4 linked regions of the Saccharomyces cerevisiae S288C genome follow. The protein of the gene in region 1 binds, or shares a complex with, the protein of each later gene. Each region holds a gene or a part of one and is shown in the gene's direction. Other genes may lie near its edges. The genes, in order: DAM1, DAD4, SPC19 and ASK1.

Region 1 (3,402 bases):
GGTTTTAAGTCAAATATTGTGTTGCTTATACAGGAAAAGTCAAGGTTTCAAACTACATATCATTATTTACTGTTAAAATTCACATATACTAATACATACGGTAATAGATTGAACCTCTTCTGTGCTCTTCTCTAAAAGTACTTCTGAACGTATGTGTCATTTTTCCTTTCAGTTTTCTTTGTAGCTCGCATTGATGTAGCCGAGTATATTTAAGGGATTCTTATGCAATGATGAAATATTTTTCACCTATAACGCCGACTACTGAAAACAGAGGGCCATCTTAACCGTTTTGCATTCAGTAACCCATACTCAGGATTTAATAAAAGAGGAAAGCAATGTCTCTACTAGGCGCCAGGTCCACTTACCGTTGGTTTTCAATCGCTGCATCAATTCCGACTAAGAATGCTATTGGCAAATCCACGTACCTCTTAGCTTCAAGAAATCAACAGTACCGAGGCATCATAACGTCAACTGTAGACTGGAAACCAATCAAGACAGGTAAGAGCCCAAATGATGATTCTCGAAGAGAAAGATCCTTTGGCAAGAAAATTGTTCTGGGTCTGATGTTCGCGATGCCAATAATATCCTTCTATTTGGGAACTTGGCAAGTAAGGAGATTGAAGTGGAAAACCAAGCTGATTGCGGCATGCGAAACTAAACTTACTTATGAACCAATACCACTTCCTAAGTCATTTACACCTGACATGTGCGAGGATTGGGAATACCGTAAAGTTATACTTACCGGACACTTCCTTCACAATGAAGAGATGTTTGTTGGTCCAAGAAAGAAAAATGGAGAAAAGGGTTATTTTCTGTTTACACCGTTCATTAGAGATGACACCGGTGAGAAAGTTCTGATAGAAAGAGGGTGGATAAGTGAAGAAAAAGTTGCTCCTGACTCAAGAAATTTACACCATTTGTCGTTGCCTCAAGAAGAACACTTGAAAGTGGTTTGCTTAGTAAGACCTCCAAAGAAAAGAGGCTCGCTACAATGGGCGAAAAAGGATCCAAATTCTAGATTGTGGCAGGTGCCAGACATATATGACATGGCAAGATCATCAGGGTGCACGCCCATTCAATTTCAAGCCTTGTATGACATGAAGGACCATCCAATAATCGAGGAACACACAAGAAACGAGGCTTCACAAAACAATTCCACCTCTAGCCTGTGGAAGTTCTGGAAACGAGAACCTACGACTGCTGTAAACGGAACGCAAGCTGTTGATAATAATACATCGAAGCCTCGTTCTAGGCAGGAAATGCCGACAGACCAAACAATTGAATTCGATGAACGACAGTTTATCAAAGCAGGTGTTCCCATAGGCCGGAAGCCCACTATTGATTTAAAGAATAACCATCTACAATATTTGGTAACGTGGTATGGCCTTTCGTTTTTGAGCACAATCTTCCTCATTGTGGCTCTTAGGAAGGCGAAAAGAGGGGGCGTTGTGTCCCAAGACCAACTAATGAAAGAGAAACTGAAGCATTCAAGGAAATATATGTAAACGGCAAACTCCTCTGCCCATACTATCGAACTCTATCCAAGAAGCGCGTAATTTCACGAGCACTGCCTAAACGGTTTTCCACATTAGTTTTGCAACTACAATGATTCGGATATGGCACATTTACATAATTTAAACTTGTACATAACTAACACCTTTTTATCCATATACCTTATGTGCCGCTCAAGATATGAACATTGCGCGTTGCCCGGACAATATCGATAAATAATAGCCAAAACAAACATGTTTTATCGACGCATGAATCCTTTGGCGTTAAACTTGTCCAATTGCACTGAAACTTGGAGCGTATAAGCTCAGCAATTGCACCAAAACAATATCAGAAAAGGCTTGTATTGCCACTTTCACCTATGAGCGAAGATAAAGCTAAATTAGGGACCACAAGGTCTGCCACGGAATATCGTTTATCCATTGGTAGCGCTCCGACTTCAAGAAGGTCGTCTATGGGTGAATCCTCATCCCTGATGAAATTTGCTGATCAAGAGGGATTAACGAGTTCCGTTGGCGAATATAACGAGAATACCATACAACAGCTTCTGTTGCCTAAAATAAGAGAACTGAGCGATTCAATCATTACTTTAGATTCCAATTTCACGCGCTTAAATTTTATCCACGAGAGTTTAGCTGATCTTAATGAATCCCTAGGTTCGTTGTTGTACGGTATTATGAGCAATTCATGGTGCGTAGAATTCTCACAGGCGCCTCATGATATTCAAGACGATTTGATCGCTATTAAACAATTGAAATCGTTGGAAGATGAGAAAAATAACTTAGTAATGGAACTCTCCAATATGGAACGCGGGATTAAAAGAAAAAAAGACGAACAAGGTGAAAATGATTTGGCCAAGGCATCTCAGAACAAACAGTTTAACCAGCCGCTATTTCCCTCCTCACAAGTAAGAAAATACAGGTCATATGACAACAGAGACAAGAGGAAGCCCTCCAAGATAGGCAACAACTTACAAGTAGAGAATGAGGAGGACTATGAAGACGATACTAGTAGTGAAGCTTCTTTTGTTCTAAATCCAACAAATATCGGTATGTCCAAATCATCTCAAGGTCACGTGACTAAAACCACGCGTTTGAATAATAATACCAACAGTAAACTGAGAAGAAAGTCCATCTTACATACAATCAGAAATAGCATTGCTTCCGGCGCTGATTTACCCATCGAAAACGACAATGTTGTTAATTTGGGAGATCTGCATCCAAATAATCGAATATCACTCGGAAGTGGTGCTGCAAGAGTGGTCAATGGGCCCGTTACGAAGAACAGAAATTCAATGTTCTCAGGACGTGCTGAAAGGAAACCCACAGAAAGCAGACATTCTGTTGCAAAGAAAACTGAAAAAAAAATAAATACAAGGCCCCCCTTCAGATGACTACGCCCAACCCAACCAAAGAATTATCCTCCTCACAAAATATATCGCTAGCATGCGTGAGTTATGGATAAGAAGAATATTTGATGAGCTGACTGATTCTTTATAGCAATAGGGAGGAAGGCAGTACACATATCAGCAGTGCATGGGCACAACCCGCATTACAACGAAACATGATATATCTATATAAAAGAAGATACGGACAGGCGGTCGAGGCTATTACTGTGCCACTATGCGAGTCATGAATGATTTTTAAATTAGTTAGTACCCCTTTATATAACGTCTTCAATAAAAGTGCGGGAAAATTCGGGTAATATTTTCTATAACTGTCATTTTTTTTTCGTTATGTATGGCAAACCAAATTGACAAGAAACTGGACAACGGTTAAAGCAAAAGGAGGAAGAAAGATATTGATTTGTGCTTTGAAGAATAACCCAAGCGAACAGGTCATTAATTGCCTAGAATCTTTACATAGAATTTGCCTTTTATGGAAGAGACGGGAG
Region 2 (2,564 bases), on another chromosome or scaffold:
AGCGGGCGATGATAATCAAATATTTAAAAATGATATAATGATAAAACTTGAATTATTTTTATAGGAAAAGTGGAACCAAAAGATTTTCTAATGCACTGATATCATGAGCAGTTAATGAAAAATTATTAATATTATTTTTTTTATATTTTTATTCAAAAATAACATTCAAAATTTAATTTTAATAAACTCATTTAAAAAAAACCTCTAAAAACATGAAGATAGAACTATAATAACGGCTTCAGTATTCAAGACAAAGCCATGTGCAGGTGAAACGATAGAAAAGTGACATAGCCGAGACAATCTAAATGAAGAATTCCTGTACTCATCTCAGACTAGCATTAACAGGGACTTGCATAATTATATCTCTATCTCTGTGTCTATGTATATATATATATATATCGACACAAATGCAAAAAATTACAAAATTTTCACCCACCATAGACGCCAGTGAAAACATGTTTAATTTCTTCCAACGTGTAGTTACCTGCCAAACATAATTGTAACAAGATTCTGCTCTTTTCAGGGCTTAGATAACCAGATGCGATGAGATTATCCTCCTTTGAACCTTTCTTTGGTACGTTGGCAATAGGCACCATACCATCCATCGATCTCTTGGAATATACGATCGGCAAACTCAATTTCATGCAGGTTTCATTGACCTCCTCCGGCAATGAACCAGCACCCATGGTAGCAAGAACAATACCATCATACTTATCTGCCACTAAGTTGACTATAGCTGGCGGAAAGGCTTGGTGAGCATATAAAATGCAAACCTCTGGTAATTTAAAATGCTTACCGTCCACTCTCAGTTTGAATTTGTGGCAACCTTGCGGTTTCACAGGAGGATAATAGTAGTGAATTTCATTGTTGACAAAATTTCCTAAATAGCCTTGTCTAACATTAAAAGAATCCAAACTATTTGCATTCGTCTTAGTAATGTAGTAACCAGAGGAAATTTGGTCATTCAAGGAAACAAGAACACCTCTTCCTCTAGATTTTGGATTTGAAGCAATGCAAATTGCTTGGTAAAGGTTCATAGGGCCATCAGCAGAAACGCTGGTTGAAGGACGCATCGAACCAACAAAAACAATAGGAACGTCGCCAGCATCAATAGTACTTTCAATAAAGAATGCAGTTTCAGATAGCGTATCAGTCCCATGGGTAATAACTATACCGTCAAAAGCCTGCAACGATTCTGAGACGCCCTTATAAATTTTATAAAGAATATCCTCGTTTATGTCTTTAGAATCCACGTTGCATAGTTGCTCATATTCAATGTCACAGACCTTGGATATATCTGGAATGGCATCCAATAGATCTTGGATGGTCAGGTCAACATGATAGCCGGCAGTTTGAGAGGAGTCTATAGCTTTCGATGCAATAGTACCACCGGTACCCAAGATTTTGATTCTTGGTAAGCTACGTTGTTGGCAAGCGATGCCGCTGCCATTCACAGCGGCATTTTGAGACTTTAGAATCTCTGGAATAGTCTCTGGACAGTTGCTTTGCACAACAAACTGAGAATTTTCAACATCTGGGCAGATGGTAGTGATTTCAACTGAATCGCTTTTCATGATACGCTTCCAAAAGTGCGATGAGAGTGCTGTTATCCTCCACTGTCTTCAAACACATTTCTTCAACAAAGTCATCGTCATCATCTTTTTTTTTTTTTTTTCATCGAGTATTTTTTCACACGAACGGCACAAGTAGCCTTCAACTGTAATAAACAAAAGCAGATAGGGAGGAAAAGAAGTGAGTTTAGGAAAGAAAGCATAACATGGAGAACCCTCATGAACAAGTGCAGGCTAACATACTTTCGCGAATAATTGGTAATGTCAAAAGGCTCAATGAGAGCGTGGCAATTCTTAACCAGGAGCTTGTGACCATTAATAATCGGAACAAAAATCTAGAAATCATGGGCGCAATTTGTGATAACTACCATAGTAGCGTCCAATTCAACCTGGAAGCGACCAATAACAAGAAGCCACCTCTTTAATTCACCAATTTTCTATATACGCATACTCATATACACATATATATATGCTATACCGTTTCTAATATATTCATTTAAGATCACTGTTTCCTGCGAAAAGGAGAAAAAAATAACAGCACATCGCTTAACCTATTCCTGTGCTTCTGGAAAGGACGCAGCCTGCAAGAAACAGTCAACATCAATGTCAGATCCATTTGCACATTTACTGACTTCTTTGAAGAATAAGGACTCTGCATCTGCATCCAAGGAAACAACTCCTCAGAGCAGCAATTCGCCTTCCATTACTGGTTCCGCTGTTGCAGATGTTGCAAGGACGGATAAAAGCCCCAATGATAGTCTGCATTCAATTTCAGCTCCTCCGCTGATACCGTCACCGAAGGTAGATTTTTCTGCACCTCCTTTGGTCCCAACTAATAGCACCACTAAATCTAATACTGCCAACAACACACCTCCCTCGGCTCTTGCCAATACCGATGACGACTTCAATCAACTATTTGGTATGGGCACAGTAACTACAACGGATACGATCCAAAAACCGGATGAGGATTACTATGGAAGCAAGGAAGACCAC
Region 3 (2,823 bases), on another chromosome or scaffold:
ATTGCTTTGTGTTAAAACTAAATTTTTTCCCCTCTCTTCTTCTATTTGAAGGTTCAGCTCTCTTAATTCACTTTCGAGCTCCTGTAGCTTTTCATGGTTTTGTTTTTCCTTCAAGCTACATGCAGATTTTACTTTATTATTTTGTTGTTTGATTTCTTTTAATTGATCTTCCGATTCTTTGAGTAGCGCATCATTATTTTCTGATAGAGTTTTTTGTAAAGCCGTGCTCAGTTTCAGTAAATGCTTTTCATTCATATCAATCATGTGCTTATTGATGAAATCAAGGTTTATCGTATAGTTTTGCATAAAGTTTTGCATGGAATGTAATTTTTCCAGCTCTTGTTTTTCTAAGGACAGCTCAGTAGTCAAAGTTTTTATCATATTTATCAAATTTATGCTTGTACCTGCTGAATTGTTGATAAAAATTCCACTGAGAACCTCAGTTTCTGGACCTAAAATATCATCATCTAATTCTGAGTTATTAATATCTCCAAACATAGCTGCCTCAAAGGCTGCCCTTTGAGCCGTTGTTGCAGATGTTACACCAGCTTCGGTATAATTTTCCTTTAAATGAGATCGTATTGGAATGTGTTGATTATGATGACCTCTGTCTATCTTTATTCCGTTTATATTAGTGGAGTTCCCATTATTCTTATTAGTATGATCTTGTTTTTTCATCACCAAATTTGTGGGATCAGATACAGTGTTCATTAAGGGAATTACTGAAATCTCTTCCACATACGCACTGATTTTTCTATGTTCAAACTTTGAGTCAATATCAGTTCCCAAATCCACAGTATCACCAACTTTTAATTCTACATCATTTTGGCGTATTTTAACCCCATTAACAAATGTCCCATTGCTGGACTTTAGATCGCGAATATATATCTTTCCTGATGTAGGATCACAACTGAGACAAGCGTGATTTCTGGAAAGAACTCTTGAGTCAAAATTTCCGTTATCTGGTCTAACTTGTTGCGAAAATAAATCTCTTTTCGATCCTGAATTATTCTTGTTTACGCTATTGGTAACTGGTCGACCTAATTTAAGTCCGTCAGGTTTAAATGGTACAACAAGAAACTTGGTCTCAAAAGTTGCATTTAAGGATTTGAGTATAATAATATGTGTATGCTTCTTACGGGGTGATCCAGTTCTAAATAATGTCTCAGTTGAACCATTTTGGAATTTCGATAATTCGTCCAGTGCCGGTGGAGATACGGCTTCTACAGGAATTGTTACTTGTCCAGCCGGTGTTGGGTCTATTGAATTGTCATTTTGATCCTGACTTTGATTTTCAAATGGAGAACGGATTTTGTTGGCTAATATTGGGGATAATTGTTGCTGTTGTGAAACTTGATGGACGGAAGGTGGAGATGAAGCGGTAGGCAACAAATCTAAGCCTGGTGGTATGGTATACTGATCTATATCGACATTTGAACGGGATCCACTGCTTCTCGAGTTTGATCTAGCTCTTCCCATGGGCCTCTTAGGCGGTGACGTTTCTGGCGTCTTTGTCATTCCCTGCGAATTCGATTGATCCCTAACATAGGGAGAATGTTGCAGTTGCGGAGGGGGCCGTCTTCTTTTTTCCAGTTCTACCATGCCAAGAATTTACAGTTGTCTTCCTTCCTTCTAATTTCCAGTTGGTGAGACTGGTGACTATCCGTGGGGTCCGGATTGCGATTTACTTTCATTATGTATTTATTATTGGCGATTATAAAGTTTGTTTTCACAGGGCGTAGTAGTTAGCAACAATGAAAATGAATAATAAACAGATCACAGACGCATATATCTGTGTACGAATTGAAGGATAGGCAAAATAACCATGACAGATGCTTTGGAACAGAGCGTCCTTGCGTTGGAGGGAACAGTTTCAGTATTGAAGGATTCTGTGGAGTCTTTAAAATGTGCAAATGAGCCAAGCACGAACCTTGCATCGACAATGTTGCAAACCAAAAGGGTTTTCCGTTTAGTTCCCGAATATGATGTTGAAAGATCAAAATTAGATTTGATTGAAGAGGTAGAACCGCTGGTTAGGACTCTGGGCGATAAGTTACGTAAATCTATGGGTAGAATGCAAAGGGAACTCGATACTTTGCAGCAAACTTATGAATTAAACGATTTAAGGCTAAAGAAGAACATTAGTATGGATGACGATGATGCTCTGAATAGTCCAGACATGGGTCAAGAATACGAAGGCAGAGACGCGGACGACGTGGTTATGATGGCATCTTCTACTAATGAGGAATTGGAAGAATTGAAGAAACTAAAGGAAAAGAAGAAGCAACTGGAGAATAAGTTGGAAATACTCAAACAGAAATAGTTAGAAGTTTATTTTTTAAAGCATCCATTTATCTCTTTATCCAGTTTGTATTATAAATTATTGTTAATGTTATCGCTAGTAGATTACTTATATGTACTTAACTGTTTGCTAGCTACCAAATTTGCTTGATGGTTCGCCATCGAAGCTTTGAGACTGTTCAATTTGGCGCTTATACTGATCAAAGTTGGATCACTTGTAGATACTATTAACTTTTCACATTCCATGACTACCCTATTATCGAAAGTAACGCCCCTTCTTAATAATTCCTGAGCTTCTGGAAGTGTTATAGCTTCACTTTGAAAAGAAGAAATTATGTGGTTAAGTAATGTGGAATCCTGGACTTGTACACCGTTTTCTGAGAGGATCTTAGATAAAGTTTTGTTTCTTTCATTTGTCACTTGATTTCTTATTTGGTCGCAAAATGACCTGCCAGTTTTACTATCAATCTCGCACCAAGGTTTTTTAGTCACCTTAATTAGATTTCGTAGTTCTATGCAAAG
Region 4 (3,142 bases), on another chromosome or scaffold:
AGGCAAAACGTCTTCACTGTGGTAGAGGCCTAGCGCCTTGTCATACTTGTAATAACCCGAAAATGATTCCACGTGGTTGAAATAGCGGGATTGTCTGTATCTTCCACCTAAATAAAAGTCGGCGGAAAGAATCATAAATATGATACCAAACCAAAATGCTAGCAACCATTCGAAACAAGCACTCTTAGATCTATCATTGATAGCACCAAAACAAATGGCCCATACAACTGCGAGAGTTAACCATATAACTTTTAGAGTTGCACTGATGGTAAATTTATTCCATACATGGCCTTTCCATTTATACCAAGGCAGCTCATCCACAGTGTTATAATCTTGGTTAAAGCTTTTTTCAGATGATTGAGGATTGAAATGAGGGCTGGCTAGGGGGTGGACTGAGGCATAGTGCCTTCCCATGAGGAAATACTCTGCAATCAAGCAGCAAGTGGATAGGAACATGAAGACGACGAAAACAGAGACCATAGCAATGTGAACGCGATGGTACAGGGCGGTTGAGAAGATGGAACTGAATAAAAGGGCTAGTTCACCAATGCTGCCGAGAACAAAAGCTGCGAAAATCAGGTTCCGTTCATCCTTTGTGTAATATGGAGGCATTAAGTATTTACCGCTGTGCAATTTCTCAGCATAAGATGTGGAATCAGAGATAGAAGGGTCTTTTTTTTTCAGTTGGAAAGGCAGATAGCCGGATCTTTGAAAAAACTCAAGGGCAACAGTGATTACATAGCCTAGACCCTGCCAGCCGGCGCACGATATAAACAGTGGCCTTAAATTAGTGGCACCTATATCTGAAATGTACACAGGGAATTGCTCCGAGTGCATGAACCAATATATGGGATGGCCTTGACTGGCCCAGCAAATAAGCATGGCTATCAGCATACCATACCATGGAATGAAGGCAATCCAGGGTACTATGAACAGCCAGTTACCTGGACTTTTAAATTGAATCATGCTATTGCTTGTACCTTCTATGTGTTTTTACTATGTAGCAGAACTTTTTACTATGAATGTTAAAAGTATCTAAAGGAAAAAAAATCCCGCAAAAAATTGTGTCTTATTATTTAGGTTTTTAGTTGTCCAGATGTTAAATCAGTAAATCTCAACTTCAGGGAATAACTATATTTATAAACTGAATGCCCCTAAGAAGGAGTGAAAATTCCGGTTTCATTCTCCTTCGCTTAGATGACAAATCTTCCAGGCTGAAAAAAGTTGCTATTTTTCCAGTTTTTTTTTTTCATCCATTTACTTTACTGCCGCGGATCCTTCAATTGAACAGAGCCCTTAAGCCGCAGAGGGGTAAGAGATCTTCGTTTTTGAACAGCCGTGGAAGATGTTTAGAGTTGGATATGGCTGGCAAGACCGTTGTGTTAGTCTTCATTGATAATCTTGGGCCTTATCCCGTCCTACTTGCACTATTATAGTGGAAATGCGATATGTCCGGTGCGTCATAGAGGAACGGAGGCCCTTGCTTGATTAGTAGCTACTCCGATTAAATGCGGTAGTGCCGCGCGGGTAACAGAACAGCGAGTTTTTCCTGTTTTCTTTTCCGTTCTTTTCCGTTTGTTTCCGTTCTTTTCCGTTTTTTTTTTCCGTTTTTTTGGTTTGTTTTGGTGAGCTGAGGCATCAACAAAATAGATATCTACAGTTTGGGGTGGGAATAGAGCCAGGTTGATCAACGTATGGAAAGAGCAACATAAGGGATTGTTGACACAAAAAATGGATTCTGCAAGCAAAGAGGAAACATTGGAAAAACTTGATCAAGAAATTACAGTGAACCTGCAGAAGATAGACTCTAACTTGAGTTTCTGCTTTCATAAGATCACCCAGGACATCATCCCACACGTGGCTACATATTCAGAAATATGTGAGCGGATCATGGATAGCACCGAATGGCTGGGGACTATGTTTCAAGAGACTGGGCTGGTGAATTTGCAGGCAAATGCAGCTGCACCAGTGGGAAACGCTCCAGTCAAAAGCCTTGTGAGCAATAATGTTGGTATATTTCCTACATCCGCTGAAGAGGCGAGTAGGCAGTCCCAGACAGACAATGGGCCTAACGAGGCAGATTCAGCTGTACATGTCAACCGGGATGTCCATTCTATGTTTAATAACGACAGTATAGATGATTTCCACACAGCGAATATAACATCCACGGGACAGATATTGAAACTTCCGGACTCTAGCGACGAAGATACTGGTTCAGAGGCGGTGCCTTCAAGGGAGCAAACAGACCTTACAGGCGAGGGTCATGGTGGAGCTGATGATGAGCAAGATGAAAGTACAATACAGAGACAAAGCCGCAAAAGAAAGATTTCGCTACTTTTGCAGCAGCAGTACGGGTCTAGTTCCAGCATGGTACCGTCTCCGATTGTGCCCAATAAAATGCGGAAGCAACTGGCTCATGAAGAACATATTAATAACGACGGCGATAACGACGATGAGAACAGCAATAATATAGAGAGCTCGCCTCTGAAGCAGGGGCACCACCACCCGAAGGGACAAGCGGATGATAACAACGAAGGGCCCGATGAAGAAGAGAGTACGAAAGAAGTACCAAAGCCTGGGACCATCATTCATTTTTCTACGAATAGATAGAATAAATAAGTACATACAATTTTTACTAGTGATGAATATCAGAACGCAGGGTAATGGGCCCGCTATATTTTTTCTTCGATATAGGGAGAGCCACATTCAGAATATTCAGAGTATTTGCATGTAGAAATTTATTCTAAGTGCGCCAGATATATGCCGGGAGAGGTCATTAGAAAACATCTGTTTGTGTTTTAACTTGAATTACAATAACAATAATACCAGTTTTATATGGGGAATATAATGTCAGCTAGTTTTGCGCCTGAATGCACTGACCTGAAGACGAAATACGATAGTTGTTTTAATGAATGGTATAGCGAAAAATTCCTGAAGGGAAAATCCGTTGAGAACGAGTGCTCAAAACAATGGTACGCTTATACTACATGTGTCAACGCAGCTCTCGTCAAACAAGGTATTAAGCCTGCTCTAGACGAAGCTAGGGAGGAGGCGCCGTTTGAAAATGGCGGCAAACTAAAAGAAGTTGACAAATGAAGTATATATTTTAGCACAGAATGTGCATTATTCAACATGTAAATAC

Evidence for each region.
Region 2: DAM1 (region 1) and DAD4 share a complex: the UniProt entries of both Saccharomyces cerevisiae proteins name them as parts of the DASH complex.
Region 3: DAM1 (region 1) and SPC19 share a complex: the UniProt entries of both Saccharomyces cerevisiae proteins name them as parts of the DASH complex.
Region 4: DAM1 (region 1) and ASK1 share a complex: the UniProt entries of both Saccharomyces cerevisiae proteins name them as parts of the DASH complex.

Annotation. Positions count from the first base shown.
Region 1 is NC_001139.9:717,023-720,424, forward strand, and holds DAM1 (Dam1p), read left to right. Parts: upstream 1-1,870; coding exon 1,871-2,902; downstream 2,903-3,402. Other genes in the region: YGR111W (uncharacterized protein), read left to right, coding at 1-8; cytochrome oxidase assembly protein SHY1, read left to right, coding at 336-1,505; chromatin-remodeling histone chaperone SPT6, read left to right, coding at 3,387-3,402. UniProt on the Saccharomyces cerevisiae protein: Component of the DASH complex that connects microtubules with kinetochores and couples microtubule depolymerisation to chromosome movement; it is involved in retrieving kinetochores to the spindle poles before their re-orientation on the spindle in early mitosis and allows microtubule depolymerization to pull chromosomes apart and resist detachment during anaphase.
Region 2 is NC_001136.10:1,107,712-1,110,275, reverse strand, and holds DAD4 (Dad4p), read left to right. Parts: upstream 1-1,777; coding exon 1,778-1,996; downstream 1,997-2,564. Other genes in the region: asparaginase ASP1, read right to left, coding at 429-1,574; auxilin-like protein SWA2, read left to right, coding at 2,175-2,564. UniProt on the Saccharomyces cerevisiae protein: Component of the DASH complex that connects microtubules with kinetochores and couples microtubule depolymerisation to chromosome movement; it is involved in retrieving kinetochores to the spindle poles before their re-orientation on the spindle in early mitosis and allows microtubule depolymerization to pull chromosomes apart and resist detachment during anaphase.
Region 3 is NC_001136.10:854,492-857,314, forward strand, and holds SPC19 (Spc19p), read left to right. Parts: upstream 1-1,825; coding exon 1,826-2,323; downstream 2,324-2,823. Other genes in the region: VPS64 (Vps64p), read right to left, coding at 1-1,602; RAV2 (Rav2p), read right to left, coding at 2,407-2,823. UniProt on the Saccharomyces cerevisiae protein: Component of the DASH complex that connects microtubules with kinetochores and couples microtubule depolymerisation to chromosome movement; it is involved in retrieving kinetochores to the spindle poles before their re-orientation on the spindle in early mitosis and allows microtubule depolymerization to pull chromosomes apart and resist detachment during anaphase.
Region 4 is NC_001143.9:339,136-342,277, reverse strand, and holds ASK1 (Ask1p), read left to right. Parts: upstream 1-1,731; coding exon 1,732-2,610; downstream 2,611-3,142. Other genes in the region: SFK1 (Sfk1p), read right to left, coding at 1-966; MDM35 (Mdm35p), read left to right, coding at 2,836-3,096. UniProt on the Saccharomyces cerevisiae protein: Component of the DASH complex that connects microtubules with kinetochores and couples microtubule depolymerisation to chromosome movement; it is involved in retrieving kinetochores to the spindle poles before their re-orientation on the spindle in early mitosis and allows microtubule depolymerization to pull chromosomes apart and resist detachment during anaphase.